Linked DNA regions of Tamandua tetradactyla. The protein of the gene in region 2 purifies or fractionates together with the protein of the main gene of each other region. This does not show direct contact. Links are inferred from orthologs where the notes say so. Each region holds a gene or a part of one and is shown on either strand. Other genes may lie near its edges.

Region 1 (11,169 bases), on a different chromosome or scaffold from region 2:
TTTGGAAAGTGTACAAAATCAACAAGTTAATTTAAATCTACTGTCATCTTCCCCCTCCCTCTGCCACCAAGGACATCACATATTTCTCTATTCAGATATTCCTTCATAACCTTCAGTAAAATTTTAAATTGAGTAACCATGTGATTACATATTTATCTGTAACATTAAGATAAGAAATTCTTCCTGTTGATAGAATGACCAGAAGAATGGAGATAATGACTATAAAATGAGCAGCACATTACCTGCCATGTAATATGCTCTACAAAAATTAAAATTATACTAATATTATTATTATGATTATTCACATACATCTTGTGCTAATGTTGTTTATTCCATGGTATTTTATATTATTCTAACAAGATCCTTTGGTCCATTCATTTTCTAATTGCTTGTATATTAGAACCCTATAGATCTATACATTTTCATCTGGTAATCAGCTGCACTAATGACCACTTTCCTAGGTGAACAATGATGCTGTTGCCAATAATGAAGCTTTGACTCTTTTCTAATATTTATACACTACATTTGCCCCACAGTTCCTTTGCAATGCCACTTTCTAATTTTAATAAGAGGTTTTGCTAGCTGTGTAGAATGAACTAGGGTCTCACTATCTTTCTATAACATAAGTCAAATAAAGGAATTAACAATCTTGACGGGTCTACAGATTGTAAAATGTTCTCCACTGCACGCTTCTGGAGGATGCACTTCTGAGTCTCCTTTTAAAATCGTCTGGAGATTGTTAATTTGTTTAAATGTTTATTTCTGAGTCATTTATACTAACTTATGTTTTCCTAATTGTAAAAAGTAGAAAAAGAACACTTACTGTATATAAAAGCATCTTATACTTTGTAAATATGTTAACACAAATAAATTTTTTTCTTTCAGAAAACAAGCATGGGTTACTGACTTTCTGAGTCCTTATGTTTGCAATTGCATTTAATTGCCATCACAGCTGAATAACAAGTTGGCTAATTTACAAGTTTATATTAAAAAATCTACATCCCTCAAAACTGTGTTATTTTTCCATCACATAATGAAGAAGAACATTCATTCATTAACTCTTCAGTAAAAGGCCACTGTACAGCACTCTTCTAGGCATAAGAGATACAGCAGTGAACAAAACAGACAAAAATCCTTGCCCTCACAGCACTGACAATCTAGCCATGAATGAGAAGGGATAGGTAAACAAACAAATATATAATTATAATATATAATGTATCAAGATGCTGTAAGTGCAAAATAAAGTTGGGAATGGGACAGGGACAGGTGTGTGTGTGTGTGTGTGTGTCAGGGTTGGGATGGGGTGTAGCAAGTAGTCTGGGCTTCAAGACACCTTTTGGGAATGGGCAGAGATGCCTGAGAGAACTGCAGTTCCAAGTGCTTGGCTCTGTTCTCCTGGGTTTCCATCTCCTCTTGCTTCTTGGCCTTGTCATCTTTACTACCATGTTAGTTGTCTGATATTTTCAAATAGATTTATCTTAATATTTTAACCAATTAGGGCTTAATTCTTTTTTTTAATTGTTTAGGGCTTAATTTTTAAGTACAGTTTGGTGCAGGTGGGGGTGGTGGAGTAGGTGTGTGGATCCAAACTCAGAATAAGTTTAAATCCTAGCTCTGTTACTTATTAACTTTCCTTGGGTAAACTATTTCATCTCTATATGCTTCAGTTTCCTCATCTGTGAAAATAAGGTTAAGAGTAACTTCCTCATAGTGTGATCCTGAAGATTAAACATTTAATGTAAGGAACTCAGACCAGTGCCCGGCACTTAACATGTGTCCTCATCAGTGCTAAAATACTGTCTCCTCAGTCTCATTTTCTTGAAGTTGATTGTGACTTCACTGCAACTTTTTTTCCAAATCATTCAGAAATACCACAAAAGTCAGGCCCATCATATATCAAGACTTATACATGCTAAGAGGTATCCAGTATTTCAATTCTGTTCTCTCTTTGAGCCAACATCACATCAATTCCATTTCTCCAAATAAAAATTTCAATTTGGTTAAAAAAAAAAGGGCATAGCCAATACCAAAAAAATTAAAGAGCATGCTCTTGGATAACAGAAATTAAGCAGTGAGGGGAGGGTGAAAATTTTAACTTTTAAGGATCAGTATTTTTAAATGATTATCCTAAGAAACCTTTTTTTTTTTAACTTAAAACATGAACATCACACTGGACACTCCAAAAGGTCAGAAAATATCTTTAGTTTTCATATCTTATTCAGTACCATGGATTTATAACTAGAAGACAAGTGTGATGACAATTTATTACTTAATGATTATAGGCCAAAGGAAACTGTGCTAGTGCTTTTACACATCATTTACTCCTCGTAATTTATCATTCCCACTTTACAGATGAGGTTATTAAGGCTGAGAAAACTTCCCAAGAACACATAACTAATTGTGGGTAGAATTTTAAACTGGTTCCAACACCTTAATGTTCTAAAGCTTGTTATTTTCTTCTGATGCATTTAAGGTGGACTGAATTTAAAGATTTGGGGAAATAAAATTAAACTAAATCAACCTTTACCACTTAGCCTGCAAGTACATGTTACCAGGTTCAACCAAACACTTGGTGTTTGCAATATGCAAGGCAGTGTGAAAAAGAAAAAGAAAAAGCAGTCCTTGGCCTCAAAGAGCTTGCTAGAAGAACACAAGGAATAGTAGTAATGTTCCAAACAATCCGAAAGAATTTCAGAACAGTAAAGCACTGAGTTGAAAAGCGTCAACAGTTTTATCAAATATTTTATTCTTGACCACTGGGAGCTTTGCTTTTTGTGTTTAAAAGTAAAGACCCCTTATCAATGTTGGGAGATAAGAGAACAAAGGGATCATTTCATTTATAATCATCTAACTACTCATTCAGTGTCGAACGCTGTAAAATTTTACTTGCTTAATAAAATTTAGGTACCGTAAGAAATACCTATTAAAATAATATTTTAACTAGAAGCTAAGGTAAAACAGCCGGCTTTGGGAAGAAATCACAGCGACAAGGGGATTGGTCAGTGCTGATCAGAAAAGGAGAGCTAGTCTACAGAGAACAAAGACTAACATTCCTAATCTCTATTTCACTACTGAAGCAAAAAGAAGGAAAAAAAAAAAACCACTCACAAGCCTTTTAGGTACAACCATCGCGCAACTTATCTCAATAATCTATAATTGTCCATCTTCTTCGGAAATGTTTGGCAAACCACCCTGGTGTCCCTTACCTTCCTCTATCATCCCATACCACTGTCTATAGGGCTATTTTTCCCTTTCTTGAATGATGAGAGTGAACACACGTTGTAAAACTAAGGTCACCAATCTTCCAGCTCTGTAACAATCATTTTATCGACCTAACTCGGAGATTTGTTTCCGAAAACCTCAAGTTCCGACCCTCACTGGTCGCTAGCTACAACCTCTGGGCAACTCAATCTTCAGTCACCACCAAGACCCACCCAGCCCTAGCGTTGGCGGCGCGCTGGACAGGGCACTCCAGCCTCAACCTGAACCACACCTCGGCCTCCCACAGTCCCTCCTCGCTCGGGTTCAGTCTTCATTTCCTATGCTCTCAGTTGAGACGCGTACCACCACCAGCCATCGAAAAGGTTTTCCCCGTGGGGGAATCGGGAGATACACATTCATTTCTGGAAGAAGCTGAACACTTGGAGCGCGGGGCAGCTGCAAGAGGTGGGAGGGAGGAGGGTTAGGAAAGAGGCGGGGAACTCAGCACCATCCATCAAGATCTCTGCGCTAAGAGATCGCCGAGCCGCCTTCGAACCTCCATCGCAGAAATTCTCCCTCGCACCCCGAGCAAGGAGAGGAATTTGGAATCCAGCTATACGGAGGACGAGGATGAAAGGGGAAGAAGGGTCCACGACCGTCTCGGTCCCGGAGGCGCGGGAAGCGAGAGGAACAAAGCCGCTGCCACCCACGCCACTGGGTGGCCGGGTGACCCAGAGGGACCCGAGCGGTCCGCTTACCTGCCGTCAGCAACTGCATGGCATGAGTAAAGGAAGGATCGAGCGAGTCCTTCTCGGCCATGAGTTCAGGCAGGTACTTGTTCTCCGGCTCCATCTTGACCGAGGCAGTAGCTGAAGGGGGCAGCAGAGGGGTCGGCGCTGGACCGCCCACTGTCGCGTCGGGACCCGTGGCCGAGGGCGGCAGCAACGGTGGCGGCTGCGTGGCGGGCGAGGCCCGGGCGGCTCCCCGGGATCCTCCTCCGCCTCCCCGGGACCGGTGAGAGAGCGGAGGCTGCCGAGACGGTGCCTGACGCACTGAGGAGTGGGCTCCTGAGGGGTCCATGGAGCCACTGCGGCCCGAGGACCGGATCATGCGCGCGGCGGGGTCGTCCCGGCGCTGCATCTGGGAGGCTGTGTAGTCGAAGGATCGAGGAAGCGACGCGGCAACAGCAGAGGCCCTAGCGGCGGTTGGCGGAGGTGGGAGAGCGGGAGCGACAGCGACCGAAGCCGACCCGAGCGACCCAGCGAAAGAGAGCACCGGAAATGAGACGGCGCGCGTGCGCAGCCAGTCACCGGCACCGCCCTTGGGTTTCTCCGCGGAGAACAAAGTCCCCAATTGGGCCATGGCGCCTGCGCACCACTGCAGCGCTCGAAGAAGTCTCCTCCCCATTTCCCTTTTCCCTCCGAGTTCGACAGGCCTAAGCTTTTTGCGCATGCGCAGGTCGCCGCGGGCTTCGTTAGGTTTCTTTGCCACGTGACTCGACCCTAGCGGGACACGTGTCTCCTCCCCCTTCAGATCGACAGAGCGAAGGGGGCGGGGACTATGGAATGTCTTTGTCTGCGGGCGGGGGGGCGGAGTGTGGGGCAGGAGGCCTGTTACTTGCGAGGCTACGCCCCCTCCAACGGCTAATCTGCGCTCAATAGGGTGGACTTGGGGGTGGGGGTGGGGTGCAGGGGGTTCGCTGAAGGGAGGAAATGAGAGGAGACCTGGGTTGAGGGACTGGTGAAGACGAAGAAGAGAGAATCGAGGCTGCCTGGGCAGGAAGAGAAGGGAGAGAGGCTGCCTGGAGTAGGGAAAGGGGAAGAGGTAGGGCACCAGGAGACAGGGATGAGGAGGGGAAGATAAGTTAAAGTCTCGAGCAGCTATGAGGAATGGAAATGGGGAAGGAAGGTTTGGAGGCAGAAAGAGGGAGAACGGCGCTGTGGAAACCTTGAAATCTGGAGGATTTGAATTAAGAGTGAAGGTACAGATCGGAGGCCTAGCAAAGAAAAGGACCCCAGCCCCAATCCAGGAAACGAGAGAATTCATATCCTGTGATTTCCAATATAGTAGACATTGAAACATTAGCCACTGTTGTTCAGAGATGTTTTCTTAAAAGAAACATTTTAGCTCTTACATATAGTACTGATTCCTGCTGGTTAAGTGTTTCTAACATATACACACCAAGTGGTTTTGAGTGTTATTGCTCTTGTCTTCGTTGGGCCCCTCACTATAGATTGTTCCATACTTGCTGAAAGAGACAAACCCTTGCCACTGCTCTGAAGGCCAAGATACGAAGAGGACATTCTCCGACGGCATCTTTTTTTTTTTTTCTTCCATGATAATTTAATTAGATGGAACAGATCAAATTTTTCTCCTTTTTGATCTAATGCCTAGGTTTTCCCCCACTAAATGGGCCAGTTGTCTTATATAGGAGTTGTTGTTTTTAAAATGCAATTTTACTGAGATATATTCACATACTGTATAATAATTCAAAGTGTACAATCAGTGGTTCACAGTATCATCTTATAGTTGTGCATCCATTATCACAATCAATCCCACAACATTCTCATCCTGGGGTGTTATATGCAAGCAGAGCCTGTCTTTATTTTCCCATATCCCCTCAAAAATCTGGTGATTTCTCTAACTTTTCCTTCCATCCACAGATTTTCACTTCTCCCATTGACGGCACTCAATTTCTTTTCCCTTTGGATCATTTCCCCTAATGAGCCTACCCTTTTCAAAGATGTTTCTGGAAATTATTTTCAGGGTGCCTGGAAACTATTGATTTTTGGATATGAGAGGTAAAAGCATTCAACTAGGGAACATAAAGGCCTGACTACCTTCTTGGGGGTGGGAGAGAGAAATTACCTTCAGAAATGAGAACAAAACACAAATCTCCATAAATTATCTTACCAGTCTTACCCTCCCCCCCCATTAGACTCTAGGCCCCAATATTTTTTTTAACTTCAGTGTCGGGAGCAATACTTTTCTTTGATGTCATATAAGAAGTGGCTTTTGGGGTGCATGGGTAGTTCAGTGGTTAGAATGCCCACCTTTCATGCAGGAGACCCAGGTTCGATTCTCGGACCATGCACCACCCCCCCTCCAAAAAAAAAAAGTGGCCGTTGTCCTCAGGTGGTTTACAGCCAAGTAGAAGAAAAAAGAGAGAACATTTTTGAATAATTGCAATGCAAAATATAAATGTAACAAGTGCTAAATATAAGTGAAAATTTAGTGCTAATGAAGTTCAAAGTAGGAGAAGATAGATTTCAACTAGGGGAGGATGAGTTCTGGGTAAAGAGAATTGTGAGTAAATGAGCAGAGATGAGAGTGCCAGAGATGCATTCAGGAATGGGGGTAATCCAATTGTGTACTGTAAAGGAATAGGTGGGTCTAGGGAGCTATTGCATGGAGGAGCAGAAAAGGAGCCAGGAGAAATTATAGCTCCCTTGTAACTCATTTCTCCCACCATCATTGAAAATCCTGCTTGGGTGGTGGACTACAAATGGCTGAAGTGTCCCTGTGCTGTAATGAGATGCCCAAATGGAGGTACCTTGAGATAACTAATAAAACTTTTATAAAGAAGGGTCTGAGAAGAAGCTGGGTAGTGTGTTATCTGTGGGTTTTCCAGACTAGAATCAACAGCCTTTCCTGTGGCTGCCAAACCCTTACCTTCTCTGGAGGGTGGGATGGGGTATGCTTTTCTGGTGAGAAGCACAAAAGGTAATCTGAGACGAGGTTATTGATGCTGCCGTGTCCTTATTTTTACCAAGTGATGCGGCTGTCTTCCTTTTGTGGGGCTCTTCCTGGGATTAGGAAAGAGTAATCCTGTCCTGAAGGCCCAGAGGTCTGAAGTTCATTTTGTGTTGATCAGAATCAAAAGAGTCAAAAGACTCTGACTTTGGAGTGAGGTAGACAAACTGAAATCCAGCGACGCTTTGTCATTAGGAAAATGCTGTATGTCATTAGGAAAATCACAACCTCTCTGAGCCTTTGTGTCCTGTAACGTGAGGGTCATGCATGGCATCTGCCTCACAGGGTTCCTGTGCACATCAACAACACCAGTGTTAACCTCCTGACACCTCATTATTCTTATGACAGTTTGTGCCTAATGAAGATTTTTGGGTACTTTATGTTGGTTCTGGGTCTGAAAGGCGTAGTGTGTAATCTGTATCGTTTTCACTGACTATAGCTAGGCTTTGTTTTGGAAGGGGAAGGCCAAGCAAGAAGACCAAGTTTCTTTTCCCCGCCCAGTTACTGTGGTGGAATATGCAGGAACAACTGAGAATGCCATGATTCAAACGGAACTAGGTCCGAATTGTGCCTCTACCTTTTGCATGCTGGTGACCGAGCAAGTTACATCACCTTGCTCAGCCTCTGCTTCCTCCTCCTTCAGAAAACAAGGGGTAATAACAATACCTATCTCAGAGCTATTAGGATTAAAAGAGATAGTGTCTGTAAAGCACTTAGCATAGAGGTTGTCAATTAGTAGGTGCTTGATAAGCAATAGCGGTCATTGTTATTATTACTACACACATTAATTGAGTACTTTAGTGCAGACTTTCACTTTCACTTGAGTCCCTAATGGATGGGCTGGAGGATTAAAGTTTGCCTGCAGTTGCTGGACCTGTGTGACCTCCATGGATGGGTGTCTAGCAGGCCCCATCTACTTCCCCTGCATCACAGCCAGTTCCCAGGAGAGAATAGCTCTGTCTCTGGGCAGGAGGGTTTCTCTTCCAAGAGTGTAGTTTGTCTGTTTAATCTTAAACCTACTGAGTGCCAAATATATAGAGGGAGAGGAGAAGGGATGGGGGGAGGGGCGGGAGTCAACATTGAATAAGAGAGAGTCCCTGTCCTCGAAGAGCTCACTGTTTAGTGAAGGAGACAAATAAATAAGCCAAGAGTTACCACGCAGTATCATTTTCACTGACTATAGCTAGGTAATAGAAGAATATACAAAGAGCTGTGGGAACACACAGGAAGGAGTGACCGACCAACTGCCAGGATGAGTTAGGGAAGTTGGATCTTTGGGGAGTTGCCAGGTGGAGCAAGGGCAGGACATTTAAATGATGGGATTTCAGCAGAGCTTGGCCCTGAGCCTGTGTACTGTGTCCTCCACACTTAAGGCTCTGGAATTCAGATCTCCAACCCAAACTTATGAGTTCCAGATCCTGATAGCCAATTACATCATGGACATATGTCCATTTGGATGTCTCAAAGGCCCTTGAAACTCAACTGTCCCCTCTAACAGAACTCAAGCTGCAGGTACTAGCAGTGCTGCTTTTGGGCCCAGGTGACTTAACATAGCTCCCAGTTTGGAAGTGTCTCCTCCTTCCTGGGCTGGGGCTTGGTCCAGCCCCTTGAGAGCTTCAGGGCTAGCAAAACTTAAGAAAGCACTCACTTGCAGGGCCATCCTCCTTGCTTGCCTTCCTGTGGTCCTGACGTTACCCTTAGTATTCTCACAGAGGGTACCTTTGGTAGGGGGCAGTGGGCAGGGGCAGAGGGAAGCACAGCAGGGCTGAGGGACGTAGTCACTGCAGTCCACAGGCAGCTTTGTCTGTGAGCAACATGTGAAAAGTCCCTTGAAGCATCCCAGAAACAATTGAAAGGGACTTTCCAGAAGTAAGAGCAGGAATTCTGCATGGCTGATATTCATGAAACTTTGTTTGAACCCATAGGCCAGTGAAGCCTGCTTGGAATTTGAAGTATAATTATCTTTTTTATTTATTGCCCAACAAGAAGGTGAGCTGCTTGAGAGCAGGAACCATTTCTGTCTTTGTATAGAAAGAGGCTGGCACCAACTAGGCACTCAAAAAATAAAATGTGTACAAAAGAATGAAATTCCCATTCTCTTGGCTACCTTTACTTGCTCCTTGTCCAGCGTCCTCTGTCTTAGGGAACTGCTCCAAAACTCACTGCACAAGCCAGAAATCTGGGACTTGTCCTTAATTTTCCCCCATTGTCTCACTGCTCTATCTCCACCAATGTATTAGTAAGAACTATTGTTTTTGGAACCTTGAATAGGGACTGAGATCTTGTTGGTTTGTACAGGTTAGTATCATGCCCTGATATATCCCAGAGTAATCTGGGCAGAAAATAAAGCAGAATTTGCAAAGCAACCTTCAGAGACTGGGGGGAAATGTGGAAATATTAAACTTTGCCAACGGGAAAATTCTTGATATTCTCACAATCATTGGGGACTACCAATTTAACAGGTCAAGCCCTCGATCTTGGTGCTCACCCTTATGAAACTTATTCCTGCAAAGGAGAAACTAAGCCTCCTTATAATTAGGCCTAAGACTCCCCCCCCAGAGAACCTCTTTTGTTTCTCAGATGTGGCCTCCTCTTTAAGCCAACGCGGCAGATAAACTCATTGCCCACTCTGTTACATGGGAGATGACTCCCAGGCATGTAAATCTTCCTGGCAATATGGTACATGACTCCCAGCATCATGGTACTGAGAAAGCCTTCTTGACCAAAATAGGGAAGAGAAATGAAACAAAGTTTCAGTGGCTGAGAGCTTTTGAACAGAGTTGAGAGGCTATCCTGGAGGTTATTCTTATGCAGTATGTAGATATCCCTTGTTAGTTTATGGTTTACTGGAGTGGCTAGAGGGAAGTTCTTGAAACTGCTGAACTGTGTTCCAGTAACCTTGATTCTTGAAGACAATTGTATAACTATATAGTTTTTACATGTGACTGTGTGATTGTGAAAACCTTGTGGCTGACACTCCCTTTATCCAGAGTTCAAATAGAAGAGTAAAAAATAAGGACAAAAAATAAGTAAATGATATGGGGGGAAGGGATCTGAGAAGGGCTATGGGATATTGTGGGCATTCCTTTTTATTTCTATTTTTATTTTTATTTTTTTAGAGTAATGAAAATGTTAAAAAGTTGATTGTGGTAGTGAATGTACAACTATATGATACTGTGAACCACTGATTGTACACTTTGGATGATTATATAGTATGTGAATATATCTCAGTAAATTTGCATTAAAAAAGAACTATTGTTTATACCTCATAATACAAATCTCACCCACATTTCTCTATCTAAATCGCCTGTACCTCCATCTGTGGTTCCATAATGCTTCACCTGAACTTCTGTCAGCTTCTAACTGGCCTCACTACTTCTGCTTCTGTGCTCCTTCAATCGATTCCCAGATACCAACACAATATTTTCAAAGTGCAGACTGATCATCTCTCTCTCTCTCTCTCTCTCTCTCTCTCTCTCTCTCTCTCTTTCTCTCTCTCTCTCTCACACACACACACACACACACACACACACACGAACGCAAACACCAGCTTAAATATTTTGCATGGCTTCTTGCCTCTAGCCTTGAGGCATTTATGCTACCAGCCTGGCTCATTAAGCATTTGCGTTAATGACCCTGTTCTAGAGAGATCATTCTGGAGGTGGAATGGGAGAAGAGAATGGAGCAGGGCAGGAAAGGCCAGAAGAACCTAGGAAGAGGAAGGAGTTAATATTTAAGTTGGAGACTTCTAGACCCAAGGGAGATAATATTTTGATTCAATCAGCCCCAGGCTTCAGGTGGAGCGGGGGTGGGGGTGGGGATGGGGGGTGGAGGGGTGGTGGATAATCTTCAGAAATTAGGGTCCCTCCTCATCCATCAGAAGCTTTGTTTGAGTTCAGGGAGAATATAAACACAAATCAGGAAATCCACTGAGTTAGTGGTTGAACTGAGAGCAAATGTTTGATGTTTTAGAGTTTGAACAAGGTAAACACTACCTTCTTCTGGGCCCAGGACCACTCCTTTCTCAAAGAGATGTAAGATGAATATATTATGAATATTGTTGTAGAGGTTTGCATGGGATGGAATTCCGGAAAGCAGATATTTGAGCTGGGCCTGAAAGGAGCAATAATGTTTTGCTACTGGTTGACTGGAAGATAGATCTATCCTAGACAGAGAAAAGAACAGAAGGAGGGGCACAAACTGATGAGAATGTGT
Region 2 (10,300 bases):
CTGTAGCAGTGGCTAGGTAGAAAGAGGCCAAATGCTGCTTGAAACTTCAGAGAAGTTCACAAAATGTTCACAAAAGGTAACATATACCCCAAAGCAGAGGGGGCCCCACTTAAAACTTTCACTGGAGGTAGTCTGAGGAGGGACTAGAACTTGCTTTAGAGCTGGATGGATCGCTAGATCAGTGGGTCCAACCTCCCTCCTCACCACTAGCCATTTTATGGATGGAGAAACTGAGGCCCAAAAAGAGAATTATCTAAAGACAACACAAAAAAGGTTAACGCAGAAACAGGACACAAACCCAGGTTGCCTAGGCAGAGATCACCTCCTGCTATACCACTCTACCTCTCCACCAGCTATCTATCCAATTCCAGAAGGTGTAAAAAGAGTACAAGGAGTCTGCAAGTTCCTAGGTGCCAAATAATGCATCCTTACTATCAAAAATGGGTTACTATGGGTAGACAAAGGCTCTTCAGATGAACCAAGATGATCCTGGGGGAAAACTGCCCATCCTGGACAAGAGAAAAAAACAGCCAAGGTCCAAGGTGAGTAAGGTCAGGTACTTGCACACTCAGTAACCCTAGGCATGAGTGGACTTTGCAGAAAAGGCAGCTGAGAGAGGAAGTAGTTTGCCTAAAACCTTAAAGCAGCAGCTAAGACTACACAGCTTTGAACTCAAGCCTGCCAGGCTCCAAAGCTCAAACTCTTTCCACACACAACCTGACCTCCATACCATCCAACAGACTCCTTGTCACCACAGCACACCAAAAAAAAAAAAAAAATCAGTCTGCCAACCCTGATTTTTGTACCAATAGGCCACTTGTCCTGCCCACCAAGCCTTGATGGCTGGGAAGGAAAAGAGGGGGCAGGGAAGAGAGGAGAGGAATCCAGTACTTCCTCAAAAGATACCTACCATTCTCTGCCACCTCCAGGTGAGTTCCCTAAAATTCCAAAGCCAAATAACACCTCACCAGCACCCCTTTCTTACCTGATCAATGAAAAAACTGAGGTCCAGAAAGCATAGATAAAGCCTATTCTGGCTTACCAGGCAAAGTAAACAAAACAGGGCCAGAGCTGTCAACCAAATGCCCTGGCTTACAGTGCCAGGCCCAGCTTCTTCAACCAACAGCCCACCTCAGCGCGTGCACACACCAAAGAGCTCTACGCGCACACACACACGCGCACACACACGCACACACGCACACGCACACACACCAAAGAGCTCTGTGAGGTACTTAAGCTCAGGACGTTTACAAGCCATTCTTTTTATAGGGAAGACTCTCAGCAAGGCAGCCATACCTGGGAAAGGAAATCCCTAACATCACCACCACCCTAGCACCTGGACCCCAAAGTACCAAAAGGTCTCCTAAAGTAAGCAGGGGTATGTATGTTCACAGCATTGGGATGAACAGAAAACCTGAGTGGGGCGCCAGATTCACTATCTGGGCTCCCCCTCAACAATTCCCCTCTTTCCAAAGGGTTCAATTGATCTCCAGGTTACAAATGCCTCCAGTGACAGTTCAGGACCAAGACTGGAGTTACAGTCAGCAAAAAGTCTAAAGGCTAGACCAGCCGAAGCAGGGAGAAGAGGAGCATTTTCTTCTGCTTCAAGTACAAGCCTCTCCTCTGTCACTGAGAAGTGAAAGTTTCATGAGCCCACAGGGTTTTATCTCCTTGTTCTTATGAGAAAAAGCAGAAGGGAGGGACTCCCAAACTAGGAGATGCAAAGGGGGTGAAGGGAGGCGTTTTTCTAGCCATCATGACAGCATAGGACTTTCTTTCTTTCTCTCCCTGGGTCCAGGGATGGATCACTCCCTATTCCTTTGGGGAGGAAAGGCAGACTTCACCCCAATTCAGGAGAGAAAAAACAACAAATGATGGGTGGAAAGAGAATGAGAACAGAAGGTTCAAGAAAAGGCCCTGGTCCCTATGAAGTGCATCAAGGGTGAGTGGGATGTGGGAAAAGAATTTCCCTGGAGTGGGGAGGCCCCAAACCCTTTCCCTATCCCTGAAAAGAAGAAAGCTTCTCAAATACAGGAGTTCAGGAAGCTTAGAATATTTCCCAGACTGTGGAAGTGGGAAGCAAGCATAGTTGAGTCAGAGTCAGACTCAGAATACCTCCAGTTCCTGAAGGGAGGCCTCAGATTCCATGTCCCAGGACAGATCCCCTAGAAAGTAGGGGAACCTTCCTGGCCCTAACCTTGAGAGGGTTTAGGGTAAGGGATTCTTATGACCCTGAAGGGGCACTCAGGCTGTTCTGTTCAATAGAGGAAGTTTAGGCCACGCTGGGAGAACCTTAGGTACCTTTCCCTGGTGAGAATGAATTATCTGGTGGGGGGGGGTGAGGGAGGGATGAGGGAGCTGCACACTCAAAGAAGGCTCCAGCCCCAGTTCAAAAGGGGAAAGATCTCTTGAATTTGAGGGGAAGGTCAGGCCCCTGGAAAAAGGCTCAGAGCCTGTGTCTCAGAATCTCACCCTACCTGGTGTCCCCAAGTTGAATGGGGAGTTCTCAGGACTCAGTTCACAAGTGGGGAGAGGATTCTCAGACACAAGTCTCCAAGGCAAGAAATCTTATATCCATAAAGGTGCCTATGACCTGGGTGTGTGTATGTTGTCTGAGATGAGGTGACAGACAGTATCCTCAGGACAGGTTCAAGTCTCAGGTCCTGAGAGGGGAGGATCTTATGTATCTGAAAGTTCAAATGCTTAAGTGGGGGGACCATGGGGATGGGGACACTCAAGCCTCTGCATCCATGTATCCCATGTCCCAAGGGAAACATCTCAGAGCTCCATTCTGGGGGAGGGGGTGGGGTGGAAAGAATACTCCTGTTCCTTGAGGGAGAAGTCCAGTCCTCATCCTTAGAGACACAGCCATACTGTGGTATGTATGTGGGTCTCCTGTCCCTGAGGGAAAGCTCCAAGTCTCCTTGGCAGAGTGAGTATCAGGTCCGTGGCCCCAAAATGGGAGAACTCAGGCCCTTCAAGGCAGGCTTAGATCCCTGGGTAGGCCTCAGACCCCATCCCTGAGAACACTATGGTGCCCATGTTCCCTGAGTAGTAGTCTCAATACATTAAGGGAAAGCACAGATCCTTGTCACTCAGAGGAAAGATGAGTCTCATGTACCTGAGTAGAGATTCTGGTCCCTGGGGGTAGGTTTTGGCACTTGTCCCCAAGGGGGAGGGGGCTCTCACTTCCCTAAGAGATGTCTTATAACCCGGCAAAAAACCTTGTATCATCTCTAAAGAGTATGCATGTATGTGTGTCAGGCTGTTGATTCTAGAAAAGGGGAGTTTCAGGTCCCTAAAGGCAACCTTAGGACCCTTGAGGATGTCTCAGACCTCACTAATGAACAATCCTATACTGTATCTCCCTGGGAAAGAGGGAAGGTGAGGGTTGTCCCAGGCAAAATGTCTCACAATCCTGAAAAGGTTTAAATACTTTGGGATGCTCAGACTCCATCACTAAGGTCTCCACCTCCTTTGAGTTCCACGGAGGAGAAGTCTCCAGCTTTTATCACCGGGGAAAGAGGATCTTGAACCACGGAACATAGATCTAGTTACCTTGGAGAGAGGCCTGAGATCAGCCACTCCCACTCCTCCGGAGGCTCTTCATCCGGCCAGTGTCCCCTGAGGGTTTCTCACCTACTGGCCCTATCAGCTGAGAGCCTAAAGCCCCGAGTGACTATGAACCCTAGAAGAGGCTTCAGACCCCATCTTTAAGTTCCCCATCTTATCTAGGTCTCTAACCCAGAGTCCTCTGAAGGGAGTGATGTCTCGGGCCACTACCCCTAGAAAAAGGGGTGCCAGGCCCTGAGAGAAAGCTCAGGTCCCTCGAGGTGATCTGAAACGAGCCTTCCTCCGATCCCCAACCAGTCTGAGGATCCCATCAGCCATACCACCCACCACTCGCCGCCACCACCACCTCCCAAGCCCTTACCTGCTCGACAGTAGCAGGGTCCATGGCCTCAATACGTGCTGCGGCCGCTTCATACTCGTCCTCACTGTTGTAGCCTGCGCCGACCTCCTCTCGCTCGGGGCTGCCCCCGCCAACCGCGCCAACCCCAGGGGCTTGACGCCGCCGCTTGCTATGCCCCGGCCCAGAGCAGCAGCCGCCCACCCCCACGGTACCACCCACGCCCACCACCACGCCCGCCGCGCCCACGCCCGCCGCCGCTGCACCTAACGCGTCGCCGGGACCGCCGCCGGGACCGCCAGGACCCCCGCACGGAGGCGGAGAGGCCTGCTGCGGCCGGGGACCCGCCACAGCGCCAGGCGGTACGGCTAGCGCCCAGCGGTGAAGTGCACCCGGTGGGCCGGGTAACGGGCCCTGCGGTGGTGGTGAGGCCCGGGGACGGGCCCCCACTACGCCCGAGTCACGGTCGCGATCCCCGCCACCCACGCCTGTGCCGCCGCCGCCCACGCCCACACCCCCGCCGCGGCGCGGCGCCGGGGGCAGCGGCCCAGGCGGCGGCGGCTCGTTGGTGGGGTCGGCGTCGGGAGGCGGCGGCTTCTTTTTGGGGAGAATAGTCATGGCTGCACCACGGAGTACCCCCCAGCAAACCCGGCGCGCGGCACGCCGGGACGGGACCCGGATGGGAAGGGGGGGGTTCTACGATGGTGCGCGAAGCACGCCGGGAACGGCGGGACCCGGATAAAGGGATTGAGACGCCGGTTCGAGAATTGTCGGTCGCTCCCGAGTCACGCTGGCAGAGATCGGATGTGAAGTCCAAGATGCAGGCACCGCTGCGAGTTTGTCGTGGCCTTCTCTCCAAGTCCAGCACGTCTACTGCTACGCTCGTTTCGGCCTTCTGCTTCGAGGGAAACAGAACCAAAACAAGCCCTCTTCGCCCCGCCCCCTTCGCAGGTTCTTAAACTACCGGGTGGGGCCTGGGCGGCGCTACGCAGGCGCGCCGGGATACCGGCCCGCCCTTCGCTCGGAAGTACGTGGGCAAAATCTCCACTGCCGCCACAACAATTACGGGCACCAACCAATCAGATCAGCTGCGCGGGTTCTCAACGACGCCCACGGGCCAATTAGGAGCGAGCGTTGGCCCTCCGAGCCCTCCACCTTGAGACTTCAAAGTCTGCACCCTTGCTTCCCGCTTTTCTTCCCGTTGACCTCGTCCTGCCTTTCGCTTTTCTTCCCGAGGCTCTGCTTTGCAGGTGTGGGTACTGCGAAAGGCCAGTGCGGCCTGTGCCGCGCCGAGTGACGAGCACGCTTCACCTCCAGGCTCGCACTCTTGGCCGCAGTCAGCCGGACTGACTGGAAAACATCAACACTTCCAGTGCAAAGCAGCCCCTGCAACGTCTTTCCGGTCCCACCCACCTGCAAAAACCCATCAGGCAGAGAGGCGGGTGCCGCTTCACCCTGGCAACAGGCCGGATTCTGCGCTGGTTTGCTAGGAGACGCCGTCACTCACGTCGGAAGGGCCAACCTTGGGACAGAAACGCAACCTCCGAGGGAGCGGTAGGTGTTTGGGAAGCAGACACGCCCTCTCTGGGCACTACGGCAAGCTCGCCCTCGCGTTGACCTCCCCGCCCCTTCAGCTAAAGCGCAGGCGCGGCACAGCATTTTTCTGAAATACTGAATTTGCTTGGGTCTAGTGAATGTTTGCAAACCGACTCTGTCACTGGCTGGCGTCTCACAATGGGGTTGGTAAAAAAATCCCTGCTGTTGAGCGGCTGGAGAGCAGCAAGCTCATCCTAGCTCTGCCCTGCCTGTGTGAATGATCCTTGGCAAGTCATTTAACGCACGCACCGTCTTCAATTTGTACTTCTCTAAAATGCCAACGATGATTCCGGTTTTTTAAAAATGAGGATCAGAGATTGATGTTTGTAAAGGGATTGGTGCTGTGCCTGGCACATAGTGCTCAGTAACTTTGTTTCCGTGGCGGTACAGTGGAAGGATCCCAGGTTCGGGAGACAAGATTTCCATCCCAGTCCCGGATGGATCATCACCAAATAAATGTGTGACCCTAGGCAACTCATTGTATTGTTTTTGTTGTTGTTTTGTTTTAGTTTACTCGTGCAAAATGTGAATGATAATGTTTGTCTAGACAACCTCAGGGAGTAATTATGGTGTTCAGATGGATGGGCTCATGAATCAAAAAGTTCTGAAACGTGAGCGGTCCTTGTAATCTTAGGAGGCAAGCTATACAACAGGTTGAAAGAGAAACCATCAGAAATCTCGTCTGAAAGCCACCTATCTTCTCCCTTCAGATGCCTAGCAAGTTCAAGTTCTTCCCTGAGGGGTGCCAGTAATAAACGGGCTCTAGGGGTGTTTTCTGCTCATGAAACTTTATGGAAGTGAGGGGCACACATTTAGGGGCCTACATTTCCTGGACCACTATGTCAAATGACTTATGCACATTATCACACTGAATCTTCTCGAGATTATCTCACTCCAGAGCCATATCCCACTTCCTACTGAATATTTGTTCAGCACTATACATGTAAAACTGAGCTCTTAAGAATAATCATGGCTAACCTTTGCTAAGTATTTACTATGTTCCTGGCTCTGTGTGGCTAACAGCCTTAATGTTCCCTTTGACAGTGAATGGCACCACCATCCAACAGTTGCCCTAGCCAGAAAACTGGGACTTAACCATGACTGCTACCCTCTCCCTCAACTCCCAGTCAACCCAAACCTGCCAATTCTCCCTCCAAAATCTCTTGACTCCGAATTTCCCGCCATTACTCTGGTCCAAACCACCATCACTTCCCAACTATATACTGAAAAGCCTCACTGTTCTTCCTGCCTCCAGGACTCTCGCTCTATAAAACTCCACATTTCACAGCCTTCTGAAACATGAGCCTCACCATGACTCTCCTGTGGATAGGCCTACAGATGTTCCCATTAACCTTAGGATGAAGTCCAAAATCTGAATCATAGCTTCAGAGGTCTTTTGTGACCTGGCCTACCTCTACATCCTCACCCTCATCACAGCCTAACTCTTCCCCAGCCATACTGAAGTACTTTCAGCTCTCTATATACCCTGAGCTCGCTCTCTTAACTTCCAGGTCATTGCATATGTTGTTCCTTCTGCCCAAGTCGTTTCCGCCCCCTTGCCTTTTGCATGGCTAACTCCAATTCATTTTTCATGTGTAGGCAAGGTTAGGTTCTCCTGCCATCTCTATGCTCTTGTAACCCATCTACCTTTCTTCTACCACACTATATTGTAATTGCTTAATTGTCTTTGCCTTCTGTGTTCAACTCTCTAGTTTAGGGACAACGTCCACTTTACCCATCTTTGCATCCCTAGAATAAACGTGTGATATGTGTTTAATAAATATTTGGTGAACAAATGAGTGATTATCTCTATTGTACAGGTTAGTAGACAGACAAGAAAAGGTAAGTGATTCTCTCACCCAGGAATTGAAACCCAGGTCAACCTGAATTCAAGGTCTGTCTTCTTGTTGCTCCACAGAGTCTAGTCATACACCAACCTAGTATAATCAGTAGCCCAAAAGAGAGAATGTAGGGGACCTCCACGAGGAAAAGGAATGCACCAAACTCAGGGATGCTTTTCATTAGGATTAAATTCAGAGCTGCTTGCTACCAGGAAACCTGGGTTTGAGTCTCCTCCAACCAGCTATGTGCTCCCCTGGGTCTCAGTTTCCCCATCTTGAATAATCAGATAATGTCCGAGGGGTATGTCCCAGGGCATTTTCCTAGATCCCCATCTTCCAGAACATATCATTAACCATCCACCTGCTATACCTTAACCACACCAGCCCTTCTACTAGTTGAAAGGAATGGAAATCAGAGTGTTCTTAACCCGCCAGCCCAACCCAGCTCCCAAGCCCCCAGAGCCAGGAGGAGCTCAGTCCTCATCTCTCCTCTCAGATTTTATTGACTGATGGAAACTACATCTTTGTCAGCCACCAGCTCCACGGGGACAGTGCTAGGGACAGGGAACCTGAGATGATGCCAGAATTCAGCCTGAGAGCAGACACAGAGTTCCAGAAGGTGACCCAAGAGGGAGAAGAGAGAAGAATATGTGAAAAGGAGTTTTGGGGGAGGAGGAGGAGGAGATCGTGAAGTTCCTCTTGCCTCCTACAACTCCCAGAGTTCAGGACCAACCCAGGTCTCAGATCCCTTATGCTTCTGGACTCCAGCCCAAGATCTCCACACACAGCCAAGCACTTGCTGGCTGCTAGACTCTTATCTCAGTCAGTCCAGCCTCCAGCCCAACCCAGGAAGGAAGCAAACCAGAGAAGAGAAGGGAGGAATGGTTAGAGGTGGCCCTTCTGATTAGGGAAAATGTAAATGCTGCAGCAAACTGGGCAGAGGCTTTGCATAATGTCAGAGCAGCAGCTGCTATTGCTAGAGTTTGCTGGAGGCCCGGCAGAGGACGGGTTGCAGGGACCCATTTCCAGCAGCCAGGGAAAAAGGTGTTTGTGCTATCTGTGTGTGTTGGCAGGGGTGACCTGACCCCTCAGACAAGGCCTAGGGATGGCAGGTCACTGCTGAGGCCATAGCCCATGGAAGCCTGTGGTTGCATTCCAAGCTTCAGGGTCTGGGAGTCATTGGGCCTGGTAGAGAGTGGGGACCTCTCCTAGCAACCAGATCAGAAGTGAAGGTTATGTTCTCTGAACACCCAAACCTCCACAGGCCAGCCAGAAAGAAGAAAAAAATCTCAGCTCTCCTACTGGGACCAGAGCTAAGATGACAGATGGGAGCTTTACCTACCTCTAAGGGCCTGAGAGTAGGGGCATGCGGGGGGCCAGCTAGGGGAGAGGGACCAGTCCCCAAGTGCTGGGTCAAGGAAGCTGGGGGCCTGCAGACACCCAGCTCTTCAGCTCCCACCAGGAAAATCATCTGGAGTGGGAGAAGTTTCCTTTTTCCTGGTTATTTCCCTACCAGGTGAGCAGTTCTATGAAACTCCATTGCATAGTTCTCACTGGAGGGCAGAAGGGGTCCCCAGGCCTACCCCTCTGTGCCTCCTCAAAATATGGCTTTGGAAAGGAGGTCCCAAGAGTTGAGAGGGCCCTCTGGCTGGGTAGGCCCACCCTTCACAGGGAAGAGATCTTGACAGTCTCAGAGAGGAGGCAAGGGGTACCCAGGCTGGAGTTCCTGAGGGTGCTGCTGGCCCTGCCGCCGCCGCCAGGGGAAGAAGGCTGACTCTCATCTGGGGTGTTGGCAGGAGGGGTAGGGATACTGATAATGGCAGCCACGAAGTCCCGGCTGTCGCAGTTCAGGTCAAGGCTGTCATGGGGCTTGGCATTGAGGCTTGAACGGCTGTGGACAAGGGTGGGGAAGATGGAAGGCTCTTTAAAAAAGTCATGTCTTAATCATTGCCACAGTAATTATGGCATTTATTGAGCTCCTACTAGCATTTATCAAGCACCTGGCACTGTGCTAACTGCTTCCCCTATATCCTCAATCATGGTAGTAGAGAGTACGGGCTCCAGAGTCAGATAGTCTTGGATTCAAATCCCGGTTCCACTTTAACCACTCCAAGCCTCTCTTTCCTCTCATCTGTAACAAAAGAATAATGATATTTCCTACCTCCTAGGGTTGTTACGGAGAGTAGATGAGATAACGAATGATATAAAGTGCTCAGAACAGGGCCTGGGAACATAATGAGCACACACACACAAATATCATCTGTTGTGAACGATGGACCATAGGTAATAGTACGATGATAAAAATGTTCTTTCAGGAATTATAGCAAAAATACCACATGAAGGCAAAGTCTCAATAATACCATGGTATATGGGAACTTGGTATTGTACGTATTTTATGCATGATTATTCGGTAAACCTTTGACTTATCTAAAAAAATAAAATTTTACAACCTCTTACTAAGAGCAAAAAAAAAGTCACTTATTATGCTTGCTCATAATAACACCCAAGTCTTGACAATAGCCTACAGTAGGTATTGCATAATCTGCCCCCCTCTGCGTTCCTTTCTGATTTTGACTCCTACCACACTCCCCATTGTTCACTCCACTCCAACCACAGTAGGAAGCTGTGTCTCTAACATACAGACACAGTCCTGCCTCAGAGCCTCTGCACAGGCTGTTCCCCTTGCCTATAAAGCTCTTCCTCTAGATATCTCCCTGGCTCACTCCCTTAACTCCTTCAAGTTTTGGCTCAGACATCACCTCAGTAAACCCTTCCTGACTACACTGCTGAAACTGCATTAGCCCCTGGTCTCCACTCTATCACTCCAGCCTGATTTATTTTTCTCCTCGATGTTTACAAATGTTTAACATGCTACACAATCTGCATATGTGTTTGTTCATTAACTGTCTCATCCTGCTAGAATATAAGGTCCAGAAGGACAGGGTTTTCTGTC

The links. The genes of interacting proteins can lie anywhere in the genome.
Region 1: the proteins of OTUD5 (region 2) and KHDRBS1 purify together in Homo sapiens (affinity purification with mass spectrometry, with the first as the bait; 3 studies listed by BioGRID). This does not show direct contact. The link is inferred for Tamandua tetradactyla from reciprocal best matches to the Homo sapiens genes OTUD5 and KHDRBS1.

What each region holds. Positions count from the first base shown.
Region 1 is NC_135328.1:193,831,975-193,843,143, forward strand, and holds the start of KHDRBS1 (KH domain-containing, RNA-binding, signal transduction-associated protein 1), read right to left. Parts: upstream 4,504-11,169; 5' UTR 4,342-4,503; coding exon 3,960-4,341; intron 1-3,959. UniProt on the Homo sapiens protein: Recruited and tyrosine phosphorylated by several receptor systems, for example the T-cell, leptin and insulin receptors. Once phosphorylated, functions as an adapter protein in signal transduction cascades by binding to SH2 and SH3 domain-containing proteins.
Region 2 is NC_135353.1:121,201,460-121,211,759, reverse strand, and holds the start of OTUD5 (OTU domain-containing protein 5), read right to left. Parts: upstream 5,391-10,300; 5' UTR 4,987-5,390; exon of another isoform or gene 4,806-4,986; 5' UTR 4,529-4,805; coding exon 3,935-4,528; intron 1-3,934. Other genes in the region: A-type voltage-gated potassium channel KCND1, read right to left, coding at 9,013-9,238. UniProt on the Homo sapiens protein: Deubiquitinating enzyme that functions as a negative regulator of the innate immune system. Has peptidase activity towards 'Lys-48'- and 'Lys-63'-linked polyubiquitin chains. Can also cleave 'Lys-11'-linked ubiquitin chains (in vitro).